Elephas maximus indicus: one gene and its partners. The protein of the gene in region 2 purifies or fractionates together with the protein of the main gene of each other region. This does not show direct contact. Links are inferred from orthologs where the notes say so. Each region holds a gene or a part of one and is shown on either strand. Other genes may lie near its edges. The genes, in order: EDC4, DDX6, DCP1B and LSM14B.

Region 1 (7,419 bases), on a different chromosome or scaffold from region 2:
ATGACCTGCTTCTCCTGCAGGTTAATGGGTGGCATGGCTCGGAGACCAGGCTTGCCTGTCGAGGTACCATCACCTGAGCTGAGTGGGTCTGGAACCAGGAGCCCGTTGAGATCCCCATTGTAGGTGTTAGATGGCCGCTGGCTCTCTGCACTGGAGCCTGGGAGTAGACAGGGCCACCCTGATGAGGTTATCAGACCTGCCCACTAGCCTCTCCTCCTTCAGAGCTTCCTTCCAGAACTGTGAGGTGTTCTCAGAATGCTTGACTGAGAGAGGCATGTCCATGGGGAGGAGAGTGACTGTGGGCCCTTTGCTCATCCCTTGTTCCACAACCCAACGTGTGCCAGGACCAAGGATGAACATGAGGCTATTCTACCTTGGGGAGGGCCCTCCGATGCCAGTTAACACTCAGGCCTGGGTCAGCACAGGGGGGTAGGGTGGGGTAGAGTGGGAGGAGGAGGGGACTCTGTTCACATGAGGGAGGGCATGGGAAGGGCCAGGAAAGACTTCATAGAAGAGATGCCATCACAGCCAGCGTGGCCAGAACACACAAACATGGGAGGGAAGGGGGAGGACAAGGCTGCACAAGCTCTAGGTATGATACTGGGGTGCTTAGATTTTCTCTGTGGGCAACAAGAGCTACAGAAGAGTTTTATACTGAACGATGACAGCTCTGGTCAGCAGGCTGATTGATGGCTCTAAGGCAGCATACAAGATGGCTGAGACTCTGGGTGAAAGATACCAGGGCCTGAACCAAGGGAGGAGCCCTGGTGGCACAGTGATTAAAGCATTAGGCTGCTAACTGAGGGGTCAGCAGTTCAAACCCACCAGCAGCTCTACAAGAGAAAGATGTGGCAGTCTATTTCTGTAAAGATTTACAGCCTTGGAAACCCTATGGGACAGTTCAACTCTGTCCTATAGGATCACTATGAGTTGGAATCAACTTGACCGCAGTGGGTTTGGTTTTTTGGAACCAAAGCAGTGGCAGGGGTTGGAGTGGAGACACTGATAAGATATGGAAGTGAGAAAGGAGGGAGCCTGACCCGCACAGAAATGGTTTAGAAGATGTCACCTTGGGCAGGTAGATTAAGCAGGAATGGACACTGAGGGGCTAGACAAAGAGGAGGGAATCTATGGGGTGGGTTATAGAGTCAGGAAAAACAACATTTCAATTGTTTGCCATTGGCTGGGCCGTAAGTACCCTCATAGGCTCAGGCACCACTCCCAAAACTCCTAGGGGGCACAAAGACTAGGGCCTCACGGCCAGGAACACAGTAAGTTTCTAGTCACAAAACAGTCCAGTGTCTGACATGGTGCTCTAGTGAAAGGGGACAAACAAGAGCTACTTGGCAAACAGGGAAGTCAAGTGTCAATCAACAAACAAAGGAGTTATGAGGAAAGCCTTCAGGCCACTGCACTTGAAGCAAAGTCCCCTTAGCTGCTAAGGGGTAAGCTGACAACTCTCCCTTCCAGGTCAGCTACCATGAGGACAAACAGCAGGCCCAGGCTTCACAAAGTTGGCCATGACAGGTTCTACCAAACTGTTCTTAGTCTGTACAGCAGCTGAGGAGCCAGTCCTGCAGGCAGCCTGAGAGTCCAAGCCAAACTCATGAGTAAAAGAGCACATACTCCAGGACTGGGGCAAGGGGCCAGGGGTCTCAGGCAGCAGATAAATTTGCTCAGGGAGTGGAGGTGACTAAATCCACCCAAAGTGAGCACCAGTGCCTCTTCCCAGAAGCATCCAGTGTGGGCCTCCCAGCAGGCATACAAACAGGATCTGAGAAAACAATTCTCATCTTCGGCCACAGTACGCCCTCACCACCAGCCAGTCCTTTAACAACGATGACTTTTCCTGAACCTACCAGGAAACTTTGGTGCCTTGACTGTGTCCATTTCCTCTTCATGGAATGCCTATCCCAACATCCAAGCTCCTATTCATATTACAAGATGGAATCTAAACATCGTTTCCTCTCTCAGACCTCTTCTCAGGCAAAGGCAGCCTGAACTCTCCAACTCCACCCTCCCAAAACAGTAGCAGAACACTTCTCTATCTCCATGATAACAGCATTATTTTACAACCTTGTTAACTCTTCTGTGTCCTGGGGGCTCCTTGAGTACAGGTAGGGGAGGTGGGCAGCTCTGAGGTATCGCTGCAAACCCAACTGAAGTTTGAACGAATGGAAACAAATTAGGGTTTGCAGACGTTTGTGGCCTAATCTAATCTGAGCTGTGCGTTCTGTGATTTGCCTTCACCCAAGAAAGAGCACAGAACCAGTGCCGGCCACCTCCCTCCTGGAAATTAGTTTCAGAACAACAGCAAGCCTGGAGTTCTCATTCCAGAGGAAGGGAGAGTCGAAGAGGAGAGCGGCTCCTCAGCACAACACCTAGGTCCAAACCTGGGACTTGGCATACAGAACCCGGATCAGGCCTTTGCACCATGGCGAAGGGGTAGGGGCTTCAGACCAGTCACAGGAACACCCGCGGAGGCACCCACAGGTTCAGGGAAAAGGCCTCACCTTCAGCCTTGGCGCTGAAGGACGAGGCAGCACAGCCCGATGCCGGTATGGGGAGGGGCCGCACGCGGGGTCTGCGCCCTTCGCGGTACAAGCTCAAGGGTCTACGGTGCCGACCCGGATCAGCCTCCACTGGCCGGGAGGATCTAGAACCGGTCCTGAGGGCCTTGAGAGAGGTTCGGGCCCGCACCGCCCTTCTGCCCGCCCACCGAGGGCCCACCTCCGTTGTCCCCGCTCACCCCCTGCGGGCCGGTCCAGCTTGAGAATGTCCCGCAGGTGCTGCGTGGCGTCCTCGATATCGATGCTCGCGCAGGAGGCCATAGGCCCTGCCACGGGCGCTGCGCCCGCGCTGGTTCCTTCCCCGGCCTCCACGCACCGCCCCACGGCGTCAGGGTCAGACGACGGGACACCGGTCACTATACTCAGTCCACGCAGCCCGCAAACCGCCGCCCGCTCCGCGTCCCTGAGCCCCGCCAACCCCCGTAACCGCCTCCACTTCCGGCCCTCCGAGTCTCGGCTCCCGGAACCTGCGCGGACCGGAGAAGAAAGGTTCCGGCCTGGGGGCGCACGCCTCGTTCCTCCCCGAAGCCTGTAACCCGCGGTGTCCACGGAGTCCCGTGGAGTTCCGCAGGATTGATGCCGAGCGTCTCCACACACTGCGCAGCTCAAAGTCATAGGCGCTTCAGGTCCCGCCCGGTCTATCCCCACTCCCAGGGCGCAAACTTCCTGATAGGCCCAGTATGGGGTCAACTCACTTTCCTTTGAGGAAATGGGTCAGTGTAAACCTAGGCTTGAGGGGGACCCGCGAGGTTCTAAGGCCCGGGAATAGCAACGGCAGGGGAGATGGCCCCACCATAATGACCACAGTTAATTGTCCTCTACTGCCCCAGCATCACCTTGCCCCAACCAGCACTCTCAGGCAGGAAGAAAGAAACCATCATTTACAAACACCTCTTTATTGCAGACATTTCAGGCACAGGTACATGGAAGCTATATTGCAGATTTTATACAGGGTGGTTTAAGAGGCAGCAGGCATCCACCTCTCCCCAACCCTACCCCCCAATACACAGCAGCCTAGAAACCAGTCCCTCTGAAATCTCCTGAGTTTGCTGTCTTCTCAAACAGCAGACCATCCAGCCCTGTGCCCAGTGTAGCCAGGCGACCTACGGGGGTCTGAGGAAGTCTGTCCTCCACCCACAGAGTTGGTGGTGGTGTCTGTTTACAGGTTAGGCATAGCTGTGGTGGCCTCGCCAATCCTAAGACCCCCTAGCTGGGGCATCATCCCAAGTCCTCAGGTTGGTTCTAGCCTGCAGTTGCCATCTTGCCATCAGGTTTACACCACCCAGTGGTCTCAGGGCTGAGGAACTAGATTTACACTGGGCAAGGCCTCTGTTCTCAAAACTGAGGAGTAGAAAAGGCCCCAACAGCTAAGACTTCCTGGGACTTGAAGACAGTGTGAAAGTGCACATGTGTAGTGAGGGAGGGAATAGTAGGGAGGGCTGAAGATATCCTGTAGAAGTTTGAGGGGTGAGAACTCCAGGAGTATGAAACCCTCAAAATCAGCCTCAGATTGCCTTCTTCCACAGCTCCAAATGATACTCCAGCTCAACTGGGCTTAGTTCTGTGGTCATCGGAGGCTGGCTGTTCTGGCCACCCACCTTTGGGCAATGATATACAAAGCAGGTAGTAGTACAGAATCTGACTTGCCCTCTGCTGGCTTAGGGCACCCTGGCTGTGATCCTGACCCTTCTGGGGATATGGGTATGAGAGCAGGTCCCCTTTAATCCCACAAATCTCTGCTCATCCTTGATCTTCACCAAGACCTCAGCCCAGAAGACCCGGACCTGATGGGGTTTTTACCAAGCTCTCTCCAGCTTCAAGGGGATTCAGGGTCCACATTCTTCCTAGAGAGGCTGGCAGTCATAATCAGAGACATCTCTCCTGCTACTAGAGTTGTAAACCTACCCAGGGCAGAGGTCACCAGGTGTCAGAACAGACCTGAGCCCTCCCCTGTCTGCAGCTCACTTCCCCAAGGCAAGGCAGGGGGGAAGAGAACACGTGCCCTACAGGCCTTCCAAGAGAAGCTAGCCGAGAATACAGCTTCAGCAGTATTCTGCTTGCAACAACAGGTATTGCGGAGTTAGGGCACAGGTGGGAGGGTGAGAAATGAGAGACAATGGGGCAGAGTAGTTTTTGATGCTCAGCCAACTGTTAAACTAATTAAAACAATTTAAACTGTTAAGAAAATTTTCGTGGTTTTATTGTATAATGAGGCATTGAAACATCTGAACAAATCAATATCTGGGCGGTGAGGCAGCTGCTTTCTCCTTCACTTCTTTGGGTTACTAGAGCAACTTGTCAGTAGATTTAAAAAACAAAACAAAAGACAACCTTTTGCATTACTTAGTCTTTCCAAGGCATGCGCTGGTACAACACAAACTTCTCCTGTCAGATGCAACTAGTCTAGTGTCCAAACATCATGCACAACACCTCGGTGGCAGTAGCGCACCGCGCCCACTCCCACTGTGGCCCTGCTCGTTTGTATATGATATTTGGAGCATCTGGCAGAGTGTGAATAGTATCGGGAAGAGGAGGGAGGAGGAAACAGCATGAGTGCCTGGCTGGGAGGAGGTCAGCCAAAGTTGTGCAGAGCAAGCCTGAACATGTCATTGGTGCAAACCCAAGCATCATTGATGTTCTTCAATAGGAACATCTGGTGAAAGCCCATGATGGGGTCTTCGTCGGCCTGTGAAGAAAGAGAAAATGGTTCAATAAGGGGACTGAACGATAGCAGGGGGGTTCAGTGATAGAACAGGGCAAAGAATGTTGACTTTGGGATCAGGCCCTACTGTACTGGATTCAAATTCCAGTAGCTGAAGAGTACTCATGAATATGAACTGATTAAAAACATGAAATGTTGTACTGGGCAACAGCAGGGGCCAGTAGATGGCCGCTCACACTGTGATGCATTTCAAGTGCAGATGAATTCATCAGTTAGCTACAGCAACACAGCAGACAACACACCTGCCTCTGAGCCCGTCTCTGGGCACAAGTGATGACAATTTTGAAAGAATCCCAGAGTGCTCACCACATTGACATACAGTATCACAGCCTGTAAAGTAAGTGTCTGAGAATGTCAGTCAGTCCAGCCCAGAGAAACTACCATTAACACTGTGGCCAAGAAAAAAGTATGTGAGAAGACATTAAAAACTGAGTTCACAATGTGATCATAGCTCTACAGGGAAAAAAAACAAAACAACCATTGGGTAATCTGTTTCTTGTCATGTAATATTGACATTTATAATGAAAGAGGAAAGTCAAACTGCAGAAAACCAGGGTGAGACCTAGTTGAGGTAGGAGTCCAGGAGCCCAGCTAACCAGCCTGGTGTCTAACATCACCTGTTTTTTGGGGAATTATCAGCAGGAAGAAGGCAAATCAATCTTTCGGGTGTTCTGAGTTGAAGAACCTAAAACCAGGTGGGAGGGGCCACTGTTTACGAACCCCAGCCAGGGTTCAGTGGGCACTGAGCTCCCTGGAGAGGCCTCCTCTACCCCCAGGGCCAATTCGGGCAGGGCATCCTGGCCAGGCAAGAGAAACTGATAGAAACCAGGTCCCTCTGGGTCCACTGCAGAGGCCTAGGGGCCCCTCCACCCCTGTACGGGACCCAGAAAGCTGCCCCTCCCCACTCACCCAGCACAGCCTAGGGAGAAGGCATGTGGGTCTATTATTCTTAGCCCATCGTAACACAAAGGCCCAGAGGGTTGGGACCTGCCAAGGGGCAGTCAATTTGTCCTGCTTTGGGAAAAAGGAGGAGCTTTTTGGAAACTGAGACTATGACCTTGATCTGCTGGGGCACAACAGGTAGGAGTTCTGGGAGAGCCTCTGGGGGCTGAAGAGCCACAGGAAGGCTTTGAGGATCACAGGTCCTGAGAAGGGTAGGGCAATGCAGAGAGAAGCAGGAGGGAGTTCCAGGACTCTGCTGTACCCAGCAGGCAGAAGACCCAGAATCCAGCCTGGAGAGTGGCAGCATAAACTCCACTAGGGGACTGCAGGCCCAACCACACCTCATGGCACCATGGCTCTGTCTTGCCCTCAGTCCTCCAGCTCTTCCTGTCTCTTTTCCAGAAAGGCTCTAGACAAGTGCTCTCTAACAGAACTTTCTGTGCATTGTCTAATAGGTAGCCACTAGCCACAGTGACTACTGAGCACTTGCGATATGGCTAGTGCACCTGAAGAACAGAATTTTTAATTTATTTTTAATGAACGCAATTTAAATGTTGCCACGTGCGGCCAGTGGCTATTGCATTGAATTATGTAGCTCTGGACGGTCACTTTGTCCGGGTGCCACATCCACAAGGAAGGCAGGGGGCTCAGGGCTCTTTCCTGCCAGGAACCCCTCCGTAGCACTGCAGTAGTGCTTTTACCTTGAGCTGGCCCACAACCATGCTGATGATGCAGCTATCTGGCGTGGGCTGATGGTCCTGCGCCGTGATGCTGTGCTGGATTTTCTGGAACGGAAGGCTCTGCGAGACAAAGAATAGGCAAGGGGCTCAGAGAGGGTAGCAGGGGCAGGGAAGTGGCTGCCTGCACCTGGCCCTGACCATTACTTACAGACAACTTCTCCACAATGGCAGCTTTCCCCTGGAACTGCTGTCCTTCCCATGTAAGGCATGACGCGTCAATCTGAAAAACGCACCAGAAACCCCAGGTCAAAGCACAAGAAGTAGGGCCGTGACCGCAGCTCTGAAAGGGTCTTGCTGGGGAAAGTGAATCCATACTTCATTTTCCCTGTCTGTAAAGAGGGGTTATGGGTAGCTTCCAAACTTTATATTATCGACAATTTCCTTAATGACACCCATTGCCCATGGGCCCAGTTAGAGACTGTTTAACAAAGTACACTTGCTAGGT
Region 2 (6,956 bases):
TGTTAAAAAGCAAAGATGTCCCCCTGATGACTAAGGTGCACCTGACCCAAGCCATGGTATTTTCACTTGCCTCACATGCATGTGAAAGCTAGACAATGAATAAGGAAGATGAAAAAAGAATTGATGCATTTGAATTATGCTGTTGGGGAAGAATATTGAATATACCATAAACTACCAGAAGAACAAACAAATCTGTCTTGGAAGAAGTATAGCCAGAAAGTTCTTTAGGAGCAAAGATGGTGAGACTTTGTCCCATATGCTTTGGACATGTTATCAGGAAGGACCAGTCCCTGGAGAAAGATATCATGCTTGATAAATCAGAGGGTCAGCGAAAAAGAGGAAGACCATCAATGACGTGAACTGAGACAGTGGCTGCAACAATAAGCTCAGACATAGCAATGATTGTGAGGATGGCACAGGACAAGTCAGTGTTTCATTCTGTTGTACATATGGTCGCTATGAATCGGAACTGACTCAGCCGCACCTAACAACAACAATCTTTATGGAAGCAGACTGCCACATCTTTGCCCTGCAGAGCAGCTAGTAGGTTTGAACTGCCGACCTTTCAATTAGCAGCTGAGCACTTTAACCTCTGCACCACCAGGGCTTCTTCATTTTATAAATACTAAAGTAAAAATATTTCCACTCCTAACTTATTGACATGGTCAGGTTCCAAAGACCAGGTCATTATGGGAAAATTAGCCTTATGCAAAAATGGATGATAACCACATCAGATCACAAAATATTTTGTGGGACACATATGTCCCTCCAGACCCAAGAGGCGGAAAATGTAGGTGAGCACTATCTGTACCATTGGACAAGAAAGGGTTACTGCCAGACGTACGTCATTAATTCACAAAATAGACGGGTAGATTTTTTACTGTTGTCGTAAATGCAATGTATCAGATAATGAGAGAGTTGTTAACTGAGGAGTAGGCGTACGTTGTATAAAGTATAATTATACGTATGCCCACCCACTGCCCTCGAATCGATTCCAACTCATAGCGACCCTATACGTATACTTACAGTCTATACAAAGTATAAATACTTTAAGAAAACAATACGGTTGCTATGAGTCGGAATCGACTCGATAGCAATGGGTTTGGGTTTATGTACGTTAGCAAATAATTTGTATTCCTAAGGTATCATTTCCTATGATTCTTGTTAATCTGACCTAGGGATAAAAAAGGTATTGAGATAGTTGGATCTAGCAACCATAAAATTGAGTCCAGAAGAAAAGATACAAGGATTCAAAATTAATTCTTTACCATCCACGCTATTTCACCAGAAGACTAGAAAGAGCTGATCTGGGGAGTCCCTGGGTGGTGCAAAGTTAAAGCGCTCAGCTACTAACCCAAAGGTTGAAGGCTTGAGTTCATCCAGAGAAGCACCTTGGAAAAAAGGCCTGGTGATCCTTTGAAAAATCAGTCATGGAAAACCCTATGGAGCACAGTTCTACCTGTCGCACGTGAGGCTGCCGTGAGTCAGAGCAGACTCAATGGCAACTGGTTTGAGGGCATGGTGGTTCAGTGGTAGAATCCACAGAATTCTCACCTTCCGTGCAGGAGACCTGGGTTCAGTTCCCAGCCAATGTATCTCATGGGCCCCCCGTCAGTGGAGGCTTGTGTGCTATGACGCTGAACGGGTTTCAGCCAAGCTTCCCAACTGAACGACTAGGAAGAAAGGCATTGCAATCCACTTCCGAAAATCAGCCAATGAAAACCCTATGGAGCACAAGGGATGACACAGGAATGGGCAGCATTTCGTTCTGTCGTGCAGAGTCGCTATGAATGGGGGCCCACTCAAGGGCAGCAGACAATAACAGTGGTACTAGGCTATTTTATAAAAACATTAAGCAGAGTCTTTAAAGCTTTTAGCCCTGGAAGGGGAGCTGCTTCATACTCCACTTTGGTTGCCTCTTCTCTTTTCCTCTTTTTGTCATGACTTCAATCAGCCCCCTTTGGAAGGTAACAGTTTATTTGTGGTTGCAAACCGCTTTCCTTTGCCTGATCCCATTTCTTGAGTGGCCTACGGAGATCCCACCAGGAAGTGACCTCCTGCCCTTCACATTCCTACTAATCCTGGGAAAGATAATGAGGCAAACAAGTTCTCCCACGTTATCATTTTAAGAAACTACTTAGCTATTCTCTTCTAGGATAGGCACAAGGTGCAAGGTTATTCCCTTACATAAGTGGGTGTTTTAAAATCTGTGTGAGAAATGACATGCTACAAATTTAGAATTTAAAAAATTGGAAGGGGAACCTTTTTCAGGAATAACCTTCTACACTTCTTCGTTTCCATTGGCTGTGTGGAAATAAAGACCAACAAATGAGAACAAACGGGCTGTTCATCCAGAGCTTGCTATATATAGCAAGGCAATCAACCATCATCTCTTGATTTGGTAGAGACTCAAAGGCAGGCAGGGGAGTAAGGAAGCTTTATAGTGAGAACAAGGTTAAGGTTCAGGTAGACTCTGAAGGTTGTTGGTTTAGGGAAGCTAGAGGCGGGCTAACTACAAGCGGGGGGCATCTTATGTGATTGGTTTGGGGAGCATATTTGGCTTTCTCTGATTGGTTCCGAGTTGGAAGCGGGCGAAAAACAGGGAAGCTGGCGGTCATTGACCGAATGCTGACCGTTCTGGGCCGATTGCTGCAGAGGTTGTGGCTTGGCTTCCTGAGCCTTGTTGCAGAGGTTGTGGGTCAGAGTTCTGTCGTATATGGTCTGGCCACTGTCCCCTTGTATATTCAGTCTCTTAGCTGGGTGAGACCCAGGTTTTTATTTTCTCTTGACCTAGTTAGCTCTCTAGCTCCAAATTTTTGTTTTACCTAAGATGAGACTGCATTCTTGTTATTTCTGTTAAGGATAAATGGAGACATCAGGGTCGTGTATAGGAAAAGTAATTCTGGGAACAAATACATTACTTGTCTTTGTAGCGAGGGTCAGGCACGAGAAAAAAGCATTCGCCGCCTTCTGGTTCCTCATTTCCTCACAGAACTACTTCCATTTAACTGACTCATCAGAAGCTTTCGCGCTTCTCTGGGAGAGCTCTGGCCTCCTCCGCTCCCTCTTCCCTGGAGGGCTGACGATTAGAGCCGACAACGCAGGATCGCTGCCCCTGTCCACGGCCCGCGCCCTCCGCGCCGTCTCCGGGACCCGGTAGCCCAGCCTCCCACTTCAAGGCTCGCTCCCCGGCCCCGCCGCCGTCCGCGCCCGGGCAGCGGCCACCTCGCGCTCTCCGGGGTCGGTCCCGGCCCCTCACCCCTCAGCAGCGCCTTCTCGGTCCCTTTCCGGCCCCCACCCCAGGCGCGCGCCGGCGCCTCCGGGACTCCCGCTCCGCGCGTTCCTGGATGGAGGCGCCCCCGGAGGGGCTCGGGCGCGGCTCCTTGGGTCCAGCAGCAGGCTCCCAGACCATGGGAGAAGTCAGGCCAGCTATCCGGTCCCGGAGCCACTGTCCGAACAGGCCGTTCTCGGAACGTGTCTTTGGTCAGGAATAAGCAGATCCTCGTCTGGTCGCAGCCCCCGATTTTCACTTTTGAGAACCCAATAAAACCCACTGCCGTCGAGTCGATTCCGACTCATAAGAGGCAAAGGGAGAGTGGACTCTTCCCACCCTTTATTACCCAGACATCTCCTCAGCTGAGGAAAAAGTACCCCTCCTTTCTCCTCAGAAAGGAAACTATTTCCCCTTCAACTTCTCTCCACCTGGACACCCGCTGGTCCCCCAGTCAGTGTGGGAGAACAGTCCTCCGTTTTTTTCTCAGGGGGGCTCCCCGGGTCGCCTTTCTCCTGCCGCGAAGCAGGAGAGGCCTTGACCCCGCCGTGGGCGCAGCGACGGCTGCCTGAGCTCTCGCCATCTTGAGTGGAGGAGGAGCCGCGGCCGCCGCCATGCGGAGAGACAGGGAAAGAGGGCGGGAGGCGGCGGCGGCGGCGGGCGGGAGAGGGAGGGGGCAGGGGAGCCGAGTTAGCTCAGCCCGGGCGGCGACTTCGGCGGCTCCGTGGGAGCGGGCAGCGGCAGAGGTAGGGCTGGACTGGCCCGGGGAGCCGGGCCGACGCGGGATGCTCAGTAGAGCGGCCCCAGGAGCGGGGCGGGGGCAGGAAGAGGCAGAAGCGAGGGGGCCGGGCGGGGGTGGGCGGAGGTTTCCGAAGAGGAAGGAGCCGCCGCCATTTTGGGAGCTTCGAGTCAACAATAAAGGACTGAGGGTGCCGAGCGGGAGTGGCCTCGGTGGTAGGACGCGGGCTCGAGCCGCGGGGAGCGGGGTGAGGTGGTGGGGTCGAGGTCTGACGGGCCACTGGGGCTGCGGAAAGCTTTGAGCCCGGCGTGGGGGGCGCTCCGAGGCTGAGGCCTAAGGCCTGGTCCGGCCCTGGGGAGGAAGGCGGGCAGCTGCCAGCAGCTGTGTGGGACGGGGGCGCCTGAGAGGAGCAGAAATAGGAATGTCGTGCGCGGTGGGGTCCAGATACAGAGCGGCCGAAGTACTCGGAGGAGATGTGCAGTGGATGATGAATATGGAACTGGAGGGAGCGGCAAGGACTAGGGGGGTGGTGGAGGTTATAGGGTACGCGGCGGCCCTATAGGGGGCGGCATGGAAATGCCGGATTTAAGGGCCCTGTTAAAAAGAGGGCCAGCAGTTGCTTGATTGGGATGGGGCTTTTAGATCCATAACAAGAGTGTGTTTGTGGAGCCCCCGAGTCGTGGAGGAAATGAGGGCCTTTCTGAGTTAGGGGTATCACTTTGAGGCCTTATGGAGGGAGTCTCTATTGTTTCCAACCTTCGGAGCTGGTTCCTGGCTCATGTTGCGCAGATACGATTGCAGGGCCCCAACCCTTTTGTGTATATGGCCAGAGGAAGCTGACTTGAAGTGTGTAAGGGACTGAGGATGCGGAGAACGTAGATCAGAAATTATTGCCTCACAAAACGGGGCTCGTATCATTGGCTTGCCTCTTTCATTTCCCTCTCATTCCCTTTTCTCTTCCACGGTCTCCTTTTCCCCTCAGAATAAAACTCACTACAACTTGCAGATCTAGCATACCGAAACTGCGCTGCGTTTGCAAACAAAAGCTCTCGTTGGAGATGACAATGATATTTTGGGTGTGAAAGTGTCAGTTGCTAACTACAACCTGAAAAGTGCTGTAGTTAACTCCACTAGCGGCTCCTCCCAACTAGTTTACGTTTCCTTCGTATTTTTGAAAACGTAGAAATACAATTTGCAACACTAAATTGGGAAGGGCCAGAGGAATATTTTCTTCTCTGCAGTGCAGATTTCAGTTCAATTAAGAGGGGAGCAGTTACCACATAGTCACATTTTGGATCTGGAGAGAACAGAGGTCCTGTTGTTTATAATGGGTAGTAGTAATATCATTTAATCTTTAGGGGTTGCCCTCTTCATCCTCTTAGTGTCTTGCAGACAAATGAGTCTCCCGGTGTGAACTCGGTGATATTGTTCATCATGATAATATAAACCTCCCAAATCAGGAAACCATTTACTACCTTGAAACTGAAATTAGGTGGCTGTTAGCCATGGTCCGCTTGAGTGGTCAGACAGATACAGGGAAACGTAGAAATATAAAGCTCTGTGTATGAGATAATTAGGATTGGCTTGTGAGCAACCTGATTGTCAATTAAAAAAGGAAGACAAAGGAGCATTTTATAATTTCAAATTTGAAAACCCATGATGTATGGCAAAAATAATAAGTCCTGATTAATAAGTTAGTGTATATTTGGTAAGAAATGTAAAGGAGTTAAAAAAAAAAACAACAGCAGGCCTTTGTTTTCTGGGCTTTGTAATTAAGTTTTTATTTACTAAGTTTTTAAATGCAGTCATGTGCCGCATAAGGTCCATTCAGGCAGTGTTGGACCACGTATCCGTCTGTGGTCCCAGAAGGTTATAATAGAGTTAAGAAATCTCGATTGGAGAACCGGACATAGGGAACAGCTTCGTGGTGGCTGTTCAGTCAATATAGGTAACACTACAGCATCCCATATGGCTTTGCTAAGTACAATCAGTCCCTGGGTTGCGGACGCCCAACCTAGGAACTTCTGCTTAACGTACTTAACGTACAACCTGTAGTTTTGAACCTACCCTGTAAAGCCTATTAAAAATTCGAGGTAGACACAATGGTTCACAATAACAAATGGGTGCTACTTTGCCTTGCGCATCAAAACAACCCATTGCCGTCAAGTTGATTCCTACTTTATCATGTTAAAGACGTTTCAGTGTATCTGGGAGTTTTTTTTAAATGTTTTTCATGCATAGAAACGTACACTATATACATACTAAGACAAGCATTCGACTAACTGACGTTAGAAATGAACCGTACCTGTTATGACTTAACATACAAATTCGACTTAGACATAGGAACAGAACTCATTTGTACTCTGGGGACTGCCTGTATATAATACGGTGTTCACACAACATCCAAATCACGTAGTATTCTATTTCACAGAACATATTGTAAACCTTAAGCAACCCATGGCTGTAATTCGATTTTGGGAACAGAAGTTGAAAGTAGTGAAATTTGACTAGTTCTTTTTTAAAACAAATAATTAGTACTCTGGGTTTCTTGGAAGGGTTTGTTAAAGTCACTACTGTGCTTAGCTGTTCACAGATTTACTCCTTTTACACAGGAAATTTTTTTGTGTATTTTTTTAAATCTATTTTTGAACAACAGGACTATTTTAAATTAGGGCATAGTTTTGGGAAAAAATGTTATATTAAAATGTAGCTAATAGTTTTTTAGTATTCAGATTTTATTAAAGTAGTTAAAGATTTTCTTGGCTGTTTTTCAAAGATGCAATTTTGACATGCAGACAGGTCTGTGTCCCGTGATTTCTTCAGTCACTATTTTAAGGGGCAAAAGCTTAAGGGAAAGAGGAACGTACATTTTTCTTTGGAAAGTTCAGTTTCTGTAGTTGAAGTTCATAAGGGCACACAGTGTTTTTTCTGAAAGTGTAAGGTTCA
Region 3 (7,737 bases), on a different chromosome or scaffold from region 2:
GTTGCGGGGCCTGTCCTGTGCACTGAAGGATGCTTGGTACCATCCCTGGCTTCTATCCTCTCGATGCCAGTAACATCCATCCCCCCAATCGTGACAACCACAAATGTCTCTGGACATTGCCATATGTCCCCTCAAGGGCAACTCCAGTTGAAAACCACTGCTTTAAAGACTGAGAGGTGAAATAATTAAATCTGTTACCGTGGAGTTGATTTTCACTCATAGCAACTCTACAGGACAGAGTAGAACTGCCCTACAGGGTTTCCCAGGCTGTAATCTTTGCAGGAACAGATCACCAATCCTTTCCTGCATGGTGGCTGGTAGGTTTGAGCAGCAAACCTTTTGGTTAGCTGCAGAGCACTTAACCACTACACCACCAGGGGCTCTCGTGAAAATAATACAAGTGTCATATTTTTTTACTGACACACCAAACCAAAAACCAAACACATTGCCGTCGAGTTGATTCCGACTCATAGTGACCCTATAGTATAGAATAGAATTGCCCCATAATTTCCAAGGAGTGCCTGGTGGATTCAAACTGCCAGCCTTTTGATTAGCAGCATAGCTCTTAACCACTATGCCTTTTTTTTTTTTTCTGGAGTCTTTCCTGGCAATAAGGAGCAGGCCTAGCTCTAAAATTCCTATTCTACTCATGACATAACCTTTCTTAATCCTTCTGCAAAGCAGCTCATTCGGTCTACCCTCCATTCCTAATTCCTCCTCCTCTAAAGGCCTGAAGTCAGTCTTCATTTATTTTCAGTGTAATATGAATTACTCTTTTTACATTTACCTACCTTCCTACAAATACTCTCTTCTTCATTCTCAAGAAATGTTCTTTATACTTTTATTAGTCTTATGTTCAAAAGGCTCCATCCAGAGACCTCAAGTGATGGCATATGGAGACAGCGGTGACAATTTTTGTTTGCTCCCAGCACCTATTCTGCAGCAGAACTAGGTATCTTTTTTTCTGGCTATCACAGCCTTGAAGATTAATACTTTGTTGAAAGAATGACCTTTTGCTGAATGAATTATGCCCTGTCTGAAGGCAACAAGTCAGGAAGAAGGAAAACATAACTCCTGTAAATAATGCTTTGTGACACTTCTGCCTTTTGATGAGGCTTTAGTAGATGGGCTTCACTGGGTGTCTAATAAGCCTCTGTAACTATTTTAACAGGTAACTATTGCATGGATCCTGTCACAAGCTTATAGGAAAGAACTGTAATTCAAGAGGAATCCTCTTCTTTATTGTGTACCAGTTTCTCAGCATTCTCCACTCTATTCTAGCATCAAATTGGCTTACAGAACTATGATCCTTAACTACAGAAATTCCTTTACAGAATTATGACATTATACCTTTGGCATTTTCAATAGAGCAGGATAATAGCCATATGCAGAATATCTTTGTATTTTTTAATTGCCATTGAGGAGATTGTCCACTGTTACTCAATGTCTTTTATATAAAGATCCAGGAGACAAATCCCTCTGAAAGCCAGGGAGAAATAACCTCTCACCTGATCAAGTGATATACTACCTATCATAGAACAATGAATATTAAAGAACTCTCCATGGTTTCCCTTTTGGTTTAGCTACTAATAAAGCAGAGCTAAACTCTTTAACCAATTTCAGTACACTTCTTTAATTAAGAACTTTGGGCAAATATATTTTCTTCTCCCAGTTTAGGACTTGTCTTTTTATTTTTGTGTTAATTCTTTTAAATTAAAACAAAATAAGTTTTATTACAGGCACCTAAAGATCTATATTGAGAGAAGTAGGCTATATAAACCAATGTTTGTGGGTGTTAAAAAATACAGATTTGTTCAATATGGATATTTCCATCCTTAAATTTTGGTGTTAATGACTTGGAGAATACTGATATAAAAAATATTCATCTGAGATCCATTCATCCAGGCTCAGTTCTCTATACTGTTTTGTAATTTATTGAAAGTAATTGGTGGGTAGTTATATAATGGATGGGTGGCTATTATTTGGGACAAAAACCACTGTGAGGAAGAGAGAAAAAAAATACATCTCTCTACATTCAAGTGGGTGGGTTACAAAAATAAATGCAGCAATTCTTCAGCAAGACACCTTGAGCGTCTTAAGCTCCCATCCCATACCAATTGTGAGGAAATTAAATTTCGTTCCATTATTATTTATTGGGGCTCTGCTTTCAGAAGAACATAAAAATAATTCGGCTCCCAAATGGACTCAAATAGCACACTCATCTTGGTTCGGTGGACTGTGGTTTAATAATCTTTCCAAGCACATTAGCTTCCTTTTTAGTGTTAGACCCAACCCCTCTGTCTTTTATTTCCCGACGTTCGCTCTTTTTTTAGTGTTTTTTTTTTTTTTTTTTTACCTGAGTTTACGACTTCAGATTTCTCCCCTCTATCAAGGTTTGATTTCACTTCGGCCCATCTAAGACTGATGTTCCAGAACAGAACTTTCCTCTTTATTCGTCCCCTGTCCCTGCCTTCTCTAGCCACTTTTACTTCACATAATTCTGCTTTATTTTTCTCGGAGTTCATCAGTCTTCTGGTCTCAAGGCACCAGGTCCTTTCTTTCCTTCAGCTCTCAGGGTCCCGTACCCGATCGGTCCGGTCTCCCAACATGGGGTATCCTAGATATTTCCGCCTTTTCCCCAACTTCAGGTGGTTTCGCATATCGGCCAGCCCTTCCCCCAAGCCCCCGGGCCCACGGCTCCAGAATTCCACAACTTGCCCTCAGGTCCCCGATCCGCCGCCACCCACGGGCGCAGCGCCTCCTCCCCGTCACTGGGTTCTCAAGCCCCGAGTCTGACAACCCCCGGTTCCCCCCCAGCCCGGGTCTGCACGGCCCCGTCGCGTCAGCACGCACCCACTCGTTGGCCCGATGGCCGAAAGTGTACAGAGCCACCTGGCTGGCCACGTCCACGATGCGGTTGATATAGGGGTCGTGGCGCTGCAGAGCCGCTAAGCTGATATCGAGCCCCTTCCCCACCAAGCCGCCCGCCGCCACCGCCGCCATCTTTCCTCCCTCCCCGACATCAACACCGGGCTCTCGGAAGCCACTCTCAATAGATCACAGAACGAGCGAGCTGCCTCGCAACCCGAAAAATCCCGACTGCAGCTTGGGGAGGCCTTCCTTCTTCAGCCATTCCTCCCGCCCGCGGAGGGAAGACATTACTAATCGATGACAGCGTTCCTTTCCCCCTGAAGATCGTTCCACTGGAAACGTCAAGGCAAAGCCTGCCCTCTGAATCCCTATTTTTCCTCTCCTTAAAGCGATTTTCTTCCAACTTGAGATTTTGAGCCGTAGACGCGGTAGAATTCACCTCTTGAATGTGTTCGACGCCTTGGCATTTCCTTCCCTTGGCGCTTCAGTAATAAAACCTATAATCATATATAATCCTCAAGCATGAGTAACTCAGAAGGGAAAGAGAACTGTGATTTCTGCGTACGCCAACTTCCAGTGCTTCTCAGATTGTGGTCTATGGAACTCTTAGGAGGGTTCCTGAGAGTGACTCTTTCAGGGGTTCTGCAAGGTGAAAACAACGCTAAGACGTTATTTGACTTTTTCACTGTGTTGACATTTACAAAGGCAACCGTGGGTTAAAGTGTGGGTGCCTTAACATAAAAATCAAGACAAGAACACCAGACTGTACTAGTAATCAACGTTTTCTTCACTGCCATACATTTGCAGAAAAGATGAAGGAAAAAGCTAATGCGACTTTAAATTGTTCTTGAGAGTAAAAAAAAATAATTTTATTAAAGCGCAACCCTTGAGTATGCTTCTTCTTAATATTCTGAGTAAAAAAAAATGGGAAGTATGCATAAAGAACTTCTGCATACCAAAGTATACAGTAAAACCTGACAAAGCCAGAACCTGTGTAAGGTGGGAACCTCTCAAGGAAGAAAAACTAAAATATTTTCCACTAATAGCGATAGAAAAGTGTTAAGACTGCACCCTGTCAAAGGAGGAAAAGTTGTAAGACCCAGAAAAACAAGATAATCTCTTGGACTTCCAGCTCTCACAGGTTTCACTGTAATTGTCTCCAGGAAAAGCACTTCTGTGCTTCTTTGAGTTGCAAGCTAAACTAGCCATTTTTTTTCCCATTAACACTATTTTTACTTAAAAGACAGACAAACTATGGCTATTTTTAATATAACAAAATGTGTGACCATTTGAAAGATATGCTTAACTCTGTGAACAAATATTTTACAAATGACCAATGTATCAATGTATGATGTTATGTCATCATGCATAGGTAAAATATCCATTAAAGGACAAGGTAGACTAATGGATTTTAACATAGCAGAGTATGAAAAGTTAATGGACAGGTTTCAGGTAACACATTATAACTATCTTTTGAGAAACCACTGGTTGGTCAAGTTTTGATGCATTATCAAAGAATATCCACAGTTAACTGAAAAGACTATTAAAATACCCATCTCTTTTCCAACTACATATCTGGGTGAGACCAGAGTTTCTTCATCTACCATAGTTTTGAAAACAATGCACCCATACGTATAACATGTATAGCACGCCTAGGGAAATAATGCACATGGGGATTGCACGATTGGCAAAAACGTGTAAGATGTGTGTTATTTGCATAAGATATGATACTTCAACCAAAACAACATGTAGCAAAATAATACAAGCAGAAGCAGATATAAGAACCCAGTTGTCTTCTATTAAGCCAGCCATTAAAGAGATTTGCAAACTGTAAAATAACGCCACATTCTCATTAATTTTTTCTTTAAAAAAATTATTATTTTCAAAAAAATGGGTTTTTTATATTTACGTTTAATAGCTTTATTATTGTTATTTTAAAATGAATGAAAGGATATTTTTAAAGTTCTTATCTTTATTTTCTAATATGGTAATATAGATAAATATAACCTACGTAAACAAACCAAAAAAAGAATTGCTGTCTTTGAATTAAGGTGTTGGTGAAAGAGATTGAGTACACATACTGTGAACTGCCAGAAGAATGGACAAATCTGTATTAGAAAAAGTGCAGGTAAAATGCTCCTTAGAAGCAAGGATGGCAAGACTTTGTCTCACGTACTTTGGACATGTTATCAGGAGGGACCAGTCCCTGGAGAAAGACATCATGCTTGGTAAAGTAGAGGGTCAGGGAAAGAGAGGAAAACCCTCAAAGAAATGGATTGTCACAGTGGCTACAAGGATGGGCTCAAGCATAGCAATAATTGTGAGGCTGCTCAAGGCCAGGCAGTGTTTCACTCTGTTGTACCTAGGGCCGCTGTGAGTCAGAATTGACTCCACGGCACCTAACAACAACATAAACCAAAGCTCTTTGGGAAGGTGTCCTCAATAATCTTTAAGACTGTAAAGTGGTCTTGAGACTAAAAAATTGAGAACCACTGATCTAAACCATTTATTCAGCACTGAATGTTAGATCAGAACAACTGCGCAGAGATCCTTATTCACACTTATTAACTCTTACTATATTTGATACAGAAATATCATAGAATATGGAACATGTGGCTTCTCAAAACAGTTGCCTAAATAAATTGCAATATAATCATCACATTCAGAATTTTAAGTTTATTAAATTTTTGGTTAAGCTCCATTTTGAATTCTGAGTCCTACTGATGCCGGAGGCTTGGGGAAAGATCTGACTGATATGTGAAACCACCTGAAGTTGGGGAAAAGACATAAATATCCATTAGTAATCAGAAGGTAGAATGTATGAATCTAGGAAAATTGAAAATGGTCAAAAATGAAATGGAACATGTAAACATCGGTATCCTAGGCATTAGTGAGCTGAAATGGACTGGTATTGGCCATATTGAATTGGCCAATCATATAGTCTACTGTGATGGAAATGACTACTTGAAGAGGAATGGTGTTGCATTCATCATCAAAAAGGACATTTCAAGATCTGTCCTAAAGTACAACAATGCTGTCAGTGATGGGATAAAATCCACACATCTACAATGAAGACCAGTTAATACGACTATTATTCAAATTTACCCACCAACCACTGAGGCAAAAGGTAAAGAAATTGAAGATTTTTACCAATGTCTGCAGTCTGAAATTGATCGAACATGCAATCAGAATGCATTGATAATTGCTGGTGATTGGAATGCAAAAGTCAGAAACTAAGAAGAAGGATCAGTAGTTGAAAAATATGGCCTTGGTAATAGAAATGATGCCGGAGATCACATAATAGAATTTTGCAAGACCAATGACTTCTTCATTGCAAATACCTTTTTTCAACAACATAAACAGTGACTATACACATGGACCTCTCTTGATGGAATACACAGGAATCAAATCAACTACATCTGTGGAAAGAGATCATCAGTCAGAACAAGACCGGGGTCTGACTGTGCAATACACCATCAACTGCTCATATGCAAGTTCAAGTTGAAGCTGAAAAAAATTAGAACAAGTCCATGAGAGCCAAAGTACGACCTTGAGTATATGCCACCTGAATTTAGAGACTATCTTAAGAATAGATTTGACATATTGAACACTAATGACCGAAGACCAGACAAGTTGTGGAATGAAATTAAGGACATCATATGTGAAGACGAAAGAGGTCATTAAAAAGACAGGAAAGGAAGAAAAGACCAAAATGGATATCAGAAGAGACTCTGAAACTTGCTCTTGAATGTTGAGTAGCTCAAGGGAAATGAAGACATGTTGAAGTAAAAGAGCTGAACAGAGGATTTCTAAGGGTGGCTCGAGAAGACAAAGTATTATAATGACATGTGCAAAGACCTGAAGTTAGAAAACCAAAAGAGAAGAACACGCTCAGCATTTCTCAAGCTGACAGAACTGAAGAAAAATTCAAGCCTCAAGTTTCAATATTGAAGGATTCTACAGGAAAAATATTAAATGACACAGGAAGCATCAAAACAAGATGGAAGGAATACATAGAGTCATTATACCAAAAAGAATTGGTCTATATTTAATCATTTCAGGAAGTAGCATATGACCAGGAACCTATGGTACTGAAGGAAGAGGTCCAAACTGCACTGAAGGCACTGGTGAAAAACAAGGCACCAGGAATTGGAGGAATACCAATTGAGATGTTTCAACGAATGGATTCAGTAATGGAAGTGCTCATTCATCTATGTCAAGAACTTTGGAAGACAGCTACCTGGCCAACTGAAGGGGTGAGATCCATGTTTATGTTTATTCCAAATAAAGGTGACCCAACTGAATGCAAAAATTATTGAACAAGCTGATGAGGAGTGAGCCTCTTGGATCAGGTGGACACTTGAGACTATGTTGGCATCTCCTGCCTGGAGGGGAGATAAGAGGGTAGAGGGGGTTAGAAGCTGGTGAAATGGACACGAAAAGAGAGAGTGGAGGGAGAGAGCAGACTGTATCATTAAGGGGAGAGTAATTGGGAGTATGTAGCAAGGTGTATGTAAGTTTTTGTGTGAGAGGCTGACTTGATTTGTAAACTTTCACTTAAAGCACAATAAAAACTATTTTAAAAATTATCGAACAATATTGATATCATATGCAAGTAAAAATTTGCAGAAGATCATTCAAATGCAGCTGCAGCAGTATATTGACAGGGAATTGCCAGAAATTCAAACCAAATTCAGAAGATGACATGGAACAAGGGATATCATTGGTGATGTCAAATGGATCTTGGCTGAAAAAATACCAGAAAGATGCTTACCTGTGTTTTGTTGACTATGCAAAGGCATTCCACTGTGTGGATTACAACAGATTATGGATAACATTACGAAGAATGGGAATTCCAGAACACTT
Region 4 (7,409 bases), on a different chromosome or scaffold from region 2:
GACAGAAGTATAGACCAACAAAGTCAAAGAGAAACACACACACGAGTCTCCTTCCCTGGGGCCCAGCTGACAGCACACTCCACACACACATATAGAAAGACACACACAGGCCGCCTTTCCCGGGGCCCCGCTAACAGCACAGCCACCTCCTGAAAGCTGCCTGGATCCAGGTCTTCCACAGGAACGTCAACAGCCTTGACCAAATCCATCCCCTTTCCTCTTCATTGAAAGGTTACCCCTTGGGTTGAGTATTCCAGCCAGACAGATGACAACCAGTTTCACTTGGGCACCAGCACACATCAGAAGCCATGCCACAGCAGCTCAGTGACACGTTTACCTGTACAATGGCAGGATCCTGAGGAAGCGTGTGCTGAGCTTTTGGAGGTTCGCACACGGTGATGTCTTTGATGTCACTTCCACGGAAAATGATGTACTCGTAAATCTCCTCTCTCGGGGGGGCAGGCCTATCTGTGGGGCGGTCTTCAGTACCAAAAGACCTCACTTGAGAGATAAGAAGAGCCAAGTATAAGACTGTCATCCATAGCCAAGCACACCAATCACCTCTCTAGCACAACAGCTCCACACCTTCCGAAGACAGAAGAGGACCCAGCAGGCCCCTTCCCCTGAGCACGTCCACATGCAGCACCCGGATCTTATGCTGCAGCACTGACTTGGCACTCTGACTTTCAGCGAACGATACCTACAGAATTAAGCCACCTGACAGAGCCCACAAGGAACAATCTCATGCTGACAGTTCCATGACATGCCAGCTCCCTAACGCAAACGCACCTACGTGCAGGACTCCCAACTAGTCCTAAGTTAAACAGCTGACAGCTGGCTTAGCCTGAAACCTCCCCAGGGAACAATGCTCTTCAGGAGAGAAGCCAGTGAGCTGTGCCATCCCCCTTCCTTCTTCCCACCATCAGCCTTGAACAGCTGTTTCGGTAGTGAAAATACTGGCGGAGGAGAGAACCCAGAACCTGAGTGGTCACTCTCTCCTAAGCTGCAGAACCGGAGGCACTGCCCTGATAGGCAGGGCTCAGGGGTCCCATCTTTGCTTCACAGGAACTCAGGCGCATATCGAGGCTTGAGGGCAGCCTCCCTAGACTACAAGCACAACTCCTGCTGAGTACTGGGGGGCAGGGGCTCAGCTTCTCTAACAGACAGCTTCTATCAGGTGCAGCACCAGGAGAAAAAGGAGCCTTCTACGCTGAAACATTCCCGTTCCCGCAGTAGCAGTGCAGTCTCCACTCCGGGAAGCATGACTATGTCCAGAAGGCCTGGGGCTCCCTCTGTGGCAGCAGCCTCAGCACACCTCCCGGCAGAGATCCTGACCCACCACAGTGGCCCTGACCTGGCACAAAAAGGGCTGGTTTCTGCAGACCTAGGTCCACAAGGGCTGTTTTCCAAACGGCAGGAGTACCTGCCCATCTTCTGTAGAGTGTGGACCACCTTCTGCCTCAGCAAGCTCAGAAAACATCCTGGACTGATGTAGAACCCCAAGTCTAAGTCTAGCCGAGCCTACCCAAGTTTGTCACCAAGGGGTAAGCCTCAGCATCTGGGAGAGGATAGGAAAACTGAGCTGCTGCCATTAAGAAGTGGTATTTGTTCCAGCTCAAGACCCCAGATGCTTAATGGGTTCCAGAAAGGCCTGAGAATTCATGTTCTCTCCCCCCTCAGCCTGTGAAGGTCCCTAAGCCTGTGAAGGCCTCTGGGACACTCCTGGCCCCTTGCACCGCCTCTCGCCTCCCCCGCCCGAGTTCCCTTTCTTGGCCCAGCTGTCCCCTCCCGTCCCAAGGGCAGGTGAGGAGCAGGCTAGACTTCAGACAGCCCCCCAGGGTCTATGCGGGACGCGCCCTGCCTCCACTCCGCCCCGGCGCACAATGACGCTGCTGTGGGGCCGTAGGGCCGAGGCGAGACTATTGTGTGGCTTGGGTGCGCTCGGGGCACTCTCCAACAGGGGCGGGGGGGGGGCCGTCGCGGGGGTAAAGGTGACAGACATTCTTGGGGAGAAAAAAGTGTGGAGGGGAGCATCGTGGGGGAGGAGGAATCCTGGGGGGGAAAGGGGCGTCGTGGTGGCGAGAAAGTAGGGGCATACCCAGGGGAGGAAAGGTCGCAAGGATTTGTCCGGGGGGGGGGGCGTTTGGGCTAGGACAGAGCCCGAGGGGCGTCATGGGTGTGGGGATGTCGCAAAGGGAGGCGTCGTGGGGGAGGGAAGAGCGCGGGAGGCGTCATGAGAGTGCTCTGCGGGAGAGAAGGGAGTTCTCTGGGGGCGAAAAGGAGGGTAAGCATCCTTGGGGGAGGGGAGGTCGGGGGCTGCGTCCTGGGGGAGGGCGTCGCGCAAGGAGCATCGCGGGGGGCGCACTAGCGGAAGAAAGGGTGCGAGGAGGAGTTCTCTGGGGGCGGGAAGGGCGGAGAGCATCCTCGAGGGGAGGTCTGGGGGGGCGTCCTGGGGGAGAGTGGAGCATGAGGGTCGTCGAGGGGGACGCTCTGGAGGAGGGGAGGGTCCCCCGGGGTAGGGCAGGCGGCGGACGTGAGGTGGTCTGGGCACGGGTCCGGGCAGTCGCACCGGTGGGAGAGCCACCCAGAGGCGGGGGCCGGGCTCGGGCGGTTGGGCCGGCTCCGCGGGCGTACCTTTGGCGAGCGCCACGGTGGAGTTGTCCGTATCGATGGTGTAGAGGATGCCCTCGTAGCGAATCTGCGCCTTGGAAATGAGACTGATCTTGCTGCCCAGGTACGGGGTGCCCGAGGAGCCGCTCATGGCGGCAGCCGGCCGCGGGGCTGGGGCGAGGCGCCGGGCCGCGGCCTGCTCCGCCGCCGCCTCACGCTCGCCTCGCCGCCCGCTCCTCCGCGCCTCGGCCCGCCGCCGCGCCGCCTGCTCGCTGCCGCCCAAGAGCCCTGCGCGGGGACCAGGCGGGCCAAGAAGGGCGCCGCCGGGCTCTGAGGGGCGCGGGAAGAAGGGGCGCAGCAGCCACATCCGGGTCCCCGCGGAGCGCTCCGCCCCCGCACCTCCCATTGGCCCGCCGCGCCGGCCTCCCTTTAAAGATGGCCGCACCGCCAGCCCGGGGGCGGGCCCGCGCCCTGCGCCTGCGTAGGGCGACGTCCCCGCCCCCCGCCCCCCGCCCCTCCTGTTCCCGGCGGGCCCTGCGAAAAGCGGGGAGCACGAGACTGCGCGCGCCGTGGAAGGGGTTGGAATCCAGCGCGGCAGCGCGCGTGTTCGGACGGGGTGTTCGTGTGCAGACCGCGGGGTGGGGCCAGCCTCAGTTTCTCCGTCTGCGTTATCCGGGTCCGCACAGCCTCTCCGTGGCATGGGTTCGAGGGTGGTAGGGCGGCCGTGCGCCCCGCGGCCGTCGACCGGGTGCGCTTCCCCGTTCCACGTCCCGCGGTCCGAGATCGGCGCGCGGCGTCCGGGGGGCTCCCGATGGGCCCGGAGGGAAGCAGGGGGAGGGCCCGCTCCTCGCGCGGCCCCGCGCCCAGGCCGTGCAGTCTCTCAGGGAGGACAACAGTAAAGCGCAGTGGCACCGGCATCCAGCACTTCCGGCGGGTCAGCCCCTAAATATAACGCGCTGAGACACTCCTTAACCCCGGATCTCCTCCCAGACCTGCGGCGCCTGGTGGCTGGCAGGGCCCCAGGCCCCACCTGTCCTGGCCCTGCCCGCTCGCCCCTGCGCCCTACCCCGCTGGCAAGGAGGCTGGAGCCCCGGAGGGCAATAATGTAGTACGGTCCCCAACCCCGTTTATTTCGCTACGCCCCTCAAGCGGCACCTCGCACAATAAGCAGTTAATACGCATGTGCGGCTGTTTATCTCTCCTTGACCCGTGCTGGCTCCTGAAAATTAAGTGGGTGGTGACCTGCGTTGTATGTAAGTAAAACTGGAAACATTAGAAAGCGCGCTACATAGGGACTGAGGAGACGTATTATTTATGAAGTGCTTATCTCACGTGTACACATGTACGTGTGTACTTGATCAGAGCTGAAAGCCGTGATCAGAACAATTCACCTGCCATGTGAGACACGGAATTTTGACTACCCCATTTTACAGCGGAGGAGGTGCGTTCAGGGCAGGTCTGGAGGGGTCCGAGCCAGGCTCTCTGCCAAGCACCGCCCCAGAGCAACCAGACCCCTGCAACATCCAGCCAGAGAACAGTAGTTTGACGAAGAGAGCTCAGGGGAAGCAGACAAGAAGCTGGAAAAGTCTTCCAGGTGTGTCTGCCAGGACTTACCTGCACACCCTGGAATTCCTTGCCTCCTGGGAAACAGCACCAACAAGGAGCACAAGCAGTGAAGCTGCAGTTAGACCAGCCCAGTAAGAGAAGTGCTGGGGATCGGCTCATCTGCCCCTAGGAGGAAGATCCAGGCTCTCATCCTGTCCTCCGACTTACTGAGGTGCACCTGTCTGCACTAGGCGCTGACGGGGGTCTCCTGGGCACCTCACATCAGCTGGCCTGGTGATCCCACTGTTCTGCCGAGGTTGAGAGCTAACTGTTACAGACCTCTTTACCCCACAGAGCAGGGCACCTATCCTCTACCTTATACCTCCTGGTTTTTGAGCCACAAGCCTGTTTGTGTTAGGGGTGGGGCTGCGTTCTCAGGGCACATGAGCTGATGCCCTCTTAGAAAGAGGAACTGCATCCCAAGCCTGTGGAGTCCAGGTAATGGGCCTCAGGGCCAGGGCAAGAGGCAGCTCCAGAGACCTCCCAAATGCTGCCAGGCTTCTGGTAGTGCAGCAGGGTGGGTCCCTGAAGACAAGCGGCAGTGCGAGTGCCTGGGCGGGGCAAAGGCCTAAAAATACACGTGGTGTCCAGGCCCAAGAATGCAGGAGTCTTGCCCGAAGTGGGAGCAGGAGCGTGCCCTCGACCTGATCTAGGAGGGCATTGGTGCAGATTGTTTTCCAGACTGGGCCACACCCCACCTGGCACCTCCACCCTAAAAGCCCTGTAACAGCACGCAAGCTTTAGTCCAGAGAGCAGAGCTTCTGGGAGGCCCTGGACAGGTCAGACCCTCTGCTGCAGTTTCCCCGTCTGCCCTGTTCATCTCGTTGGTGGATGTGAGGACCCTAGCAGCTGCTAATGCTTGTGAAGGGCTTTGTGGACGGCCAGGGGCCCGCTCATGGCAGATAGGGTGGGTGGTGGACAAAGAGGCAGCTGGGAGGTTTCCACTGCAGCCAGAGCCACTGATGAAGCTCCCGTGGTGAGTACGCAGGAGAGCAGTGTGGTCTCCAGGGAGACAGGTGTGAGCACCTGGAGGAGGGAGCCCACCTGGTTGTCCCCACACACTAGCTGAGGTCCTCCAGGTACGTGAGGCGGATTGCCACAGAACCATTTTGTGGCTCTACTGTGTCCGCAAGAAAGAATGGCCAGTACAGCTGCTGATTTCAGGGACTAGAAGGCTCTGGGTGGCACAAGCGGCTGAGTGCTGGTCTCCTTGCTGAGAGGTTGGTTGATTCAAACTCACCCAGAGGCACCTCCGAAGAAAAGCTTGGCAATCTGCTTCCGAAAGGTCACAACCTTCAAAACCCTATGGAGCACAGTTTTATTCTGCACATGTGGGGTCACCATGAAATGGACTCCACTCGATGGCAGCTGGTTAGTTTTTTACCAGGGCTTCCAACTAGTTCATTCTGGTTTGAACCCCTGCTGATAACTTGCATTTCCATCTCAGATACACTGCATCAGAACCTGTGGTTTAACAAGATCCCCAGGTGATTCTCACATGTAAATTTTGAGAACCCCTGCTTTACTAGTGGTTCTCAGAATTGGTCCCTAACCAGCAGCATTAGCATCGCCTGAGAACTTGCTGGGTACAAACTCTCAGCAAGGGTTTGAGGCCGATGGAACTGGTTCAAAGCCCTGGTTTTTACTGTGTTTCTAGCAGGATCTCAAACCAGTTCATTCAGATTTGAACTCCTGCTGGAGATTTGCATTTCTAGCAAGTTCTAATAAGCTAATGCTGTGGTTTAGGGACCTGTGGTAGAGTGAATTACTTAATATGGCCCTTCTAGTTTTTTTTTTTTTTTTTGCCATAGTCTTTGTAATGCCCATCAAATAACTGGGTGTGGGGGGGAGGAGGGAGAGTGGGAGAGGGTTATTTACTGATTAGTAGATAAGAACTACTTTAGGTGAAGGGAAGGACAATACTCAATACACGGAAGGTCAGCTCAACTGGACTGGACCAAAAGCAAAGAAGTTTCCGGGATAAACTGAATGTTGCAAAGGTCAGAGGAGCAAGGGCAGGGGTTTGGGGACTATGGCTTAAGGGGACTTCTAAGTCAATTGGCAAAATAATTCTATTATGAAAACATTCTGCATCCCGCTTTGAAATGTGGCATCTGGGGTCTTAAATGCTAGCAAGCAGCCATCTAAGATGCATCAATGGGTCTCAACCCACCTGGATCAAAGGAGAATGAAGAACACCAAGGTCACACGATAACTAAGAGCCCAAGAGACAGAAAGGGCCACATGAACCAGAGACTTACATCATCCTGAGACCAGAAGAACTAGATGGTGCCCGGCCACAACCAATGACTGCCCTGACAGGGAGCACAATAGACAACCCCTGAGGGAGCAGGAGAACAGTGGGATGCAGACCCCAAATTCTCATAAAAAGACCAGACTTAATGGTCTGACTGAGACTAGAGGAATCCTGGCGGTCATGGTGCCCAAACCTTCTGTTGGCCCAGGACAGGAACCATTCCCGAAGACAACTCACCAGACATGGAAGGGACTGGACAGTGGGTAGGAGAGAGAAGCTGATGAAGAGTGAGCTACTTGTATCAGGTGGACACTTGAGACTGTGTTGGCATCTCCTGTCTGCAGGGGAGAGAGGAGGGTAGAGAGGGTTAGAAACTGGTGAAATTGTCACGAAAGGAGAAACTGTAAGGGCTGACTCATTAGAGGGAGAATAAGTGGGAGCATGGAGTAAGGTGTATATGAGCTTATATGTGACAGACTGACTTGATTTGTAAACGTTCACTTAAAGCTCAATAAAAATTGTTATAAAAAAAACCCAAAAATCTAAAATAAATAAAATAAAATAACTGGGTGAAACTTTGCAAATGAGGTGCTTGTGGTCCACTAAGGAGATTGGATAGCTTGCTAATAATGGTACCCTCGTGGGGTGGAACCATGCAAATATGGTATGTAGAGCCCTAAAGAGGCAATGGGTCAGTTTCGTCACCCCGGTAAGCTTAAAAGGAGACATGAGGGGGCAGGGGAGAGGAGACATGGAAGTCAGAGGTAGCAGAGGCAGCAGAACCAGGACAGAGAGGGAAAGCTGTTAACTCTGAAGATGGCGAGAAGTAGTGGCACAGAAATGAAGGCAGTAGCAGAACCAGTAGACCTGCAGGAGACGGCACACTGGGCCTCCTGGCCCAGGGAGTGAGAAAGCTGAGTTCCTTCGGGCACGGGGC

Evidence for each region.
Region 1: the proteins of DDX6 (region 2) and EDC4 purify together in Homo sapiens (affinity purification with mass spectrometry; 4 studies listed by BioGRID and IntAct, counting the BioPlex papers as one, with this or other methods). This does not show direct contact. The link is inferred for Elephas maximus indicus from reciprocal best matches to the Homo sapiens genes DDX6 and EDC4.
Region 3: the proteins of DDX6 (region 2) and DCP1B purify together in Homo sapiens (affinity purification with mass spectrometry; 6 studies listed by BioGRID and IntAct, counting the BioPlex papers as one, with this or other methods). This does not show direct contact. The link is inferred for Elephas maximus indicus from reciprocal best matches to the Homo sapiens genes DDX6 and DCP1B.
Region 4: the proteins of DDX6 (region 2) and LSM14B purify together in Homo sapiens (affinity purification with mass spectrometry; 4 studies listed by BioGRID and IntAct, counting the BioPlex papers as one, with this or other methods). This does not show direct contact. The link is inferred for Elephas maximus indicus from reciprocal best matches to the Homo sapiens genes DDX6 and LSM14B.

The regions. Positions count from the first base shown.
Region 1 is NC_064839.1:34,302,232-34,309,650, reverse strand, and holds the start of EDC4 (enhancer of mRNA-decapping protein 4), read right to left. Parts: upstream 3,013-7,419; 5' UTR 2,832-3,012; coding exon 2,750-2,831; intron 158-2,749; coding exon 1-157. Other genes in the region: NUTF2 (nuclear transport factor 2), read right to left, coding at 5,143-5,256, 6,936-7,034, 7,123-7,194. UniProt on the Homo sapiens protein: In the process of mRNA degradation, seems to play a role in mRNA decapping. Component of a complex containing DCP2 and DCP1A which functions in decapping of ARE-containing mRNAs. Promotes complex formation between DCP1A and DCP2.
Region 2 is NC_064835.1:11,249,138-11,256,093, reverse strand, and holds the start of DDX6 (probable ATP-dependent RNA helicase DDX6), read left to right. Parts: upstream 1-3,937; 5' UTR 3,938-4,017; intron 4,018-4,135; exon of another isoform or gene 4,136-4,257; intron 4,258-6,956.
Region 3 is NC_064822.1:56,680,484-56,688,220, reverse strand, and holds the start of DCP1B (mRNA-decapping enzyme 1B), read right to left. Parts: upstream 3,011-7,737; 5' UTR 3,004-3,010; coding exon 2,854-3,003; intron 1-2,853. UniProt on the Homo sapiens protein: May play a role in the degradation of mRNAs, both in normal mRNA turnover and in nonsense-mediated mRNA decay. May remove the 7-methyl guanine cap structure from mRNA molecules, yielding a 5'-phosphorylated mRNA fragment and 7m-GDP.
Region 4 is NC_064843.1:5,804,881-5,812,289, forward strand, and holds the start of LSM14B (protein LSM14 homolog B), read right to left. Parts: upstream 3,010-7,409; 5' UTR 2,978-3,009; coding exon 2,635-2,977; intron 502-2,634; coding exon 338-501; intron 1-337. Other genes in the region: uncharacterized protein LOC126067817, read right to left, coding at 3,040-3,552, 4,225-4,335. UniProt on the Homo sapiens protein: mRNA-binding protein essential for female fertility, oocyte meiotic maturation and the assembly of MARDO (mitochondria-associated ribonucleoprotein domain), a membraneless compartment that stores maternal mRNAs in oocytes.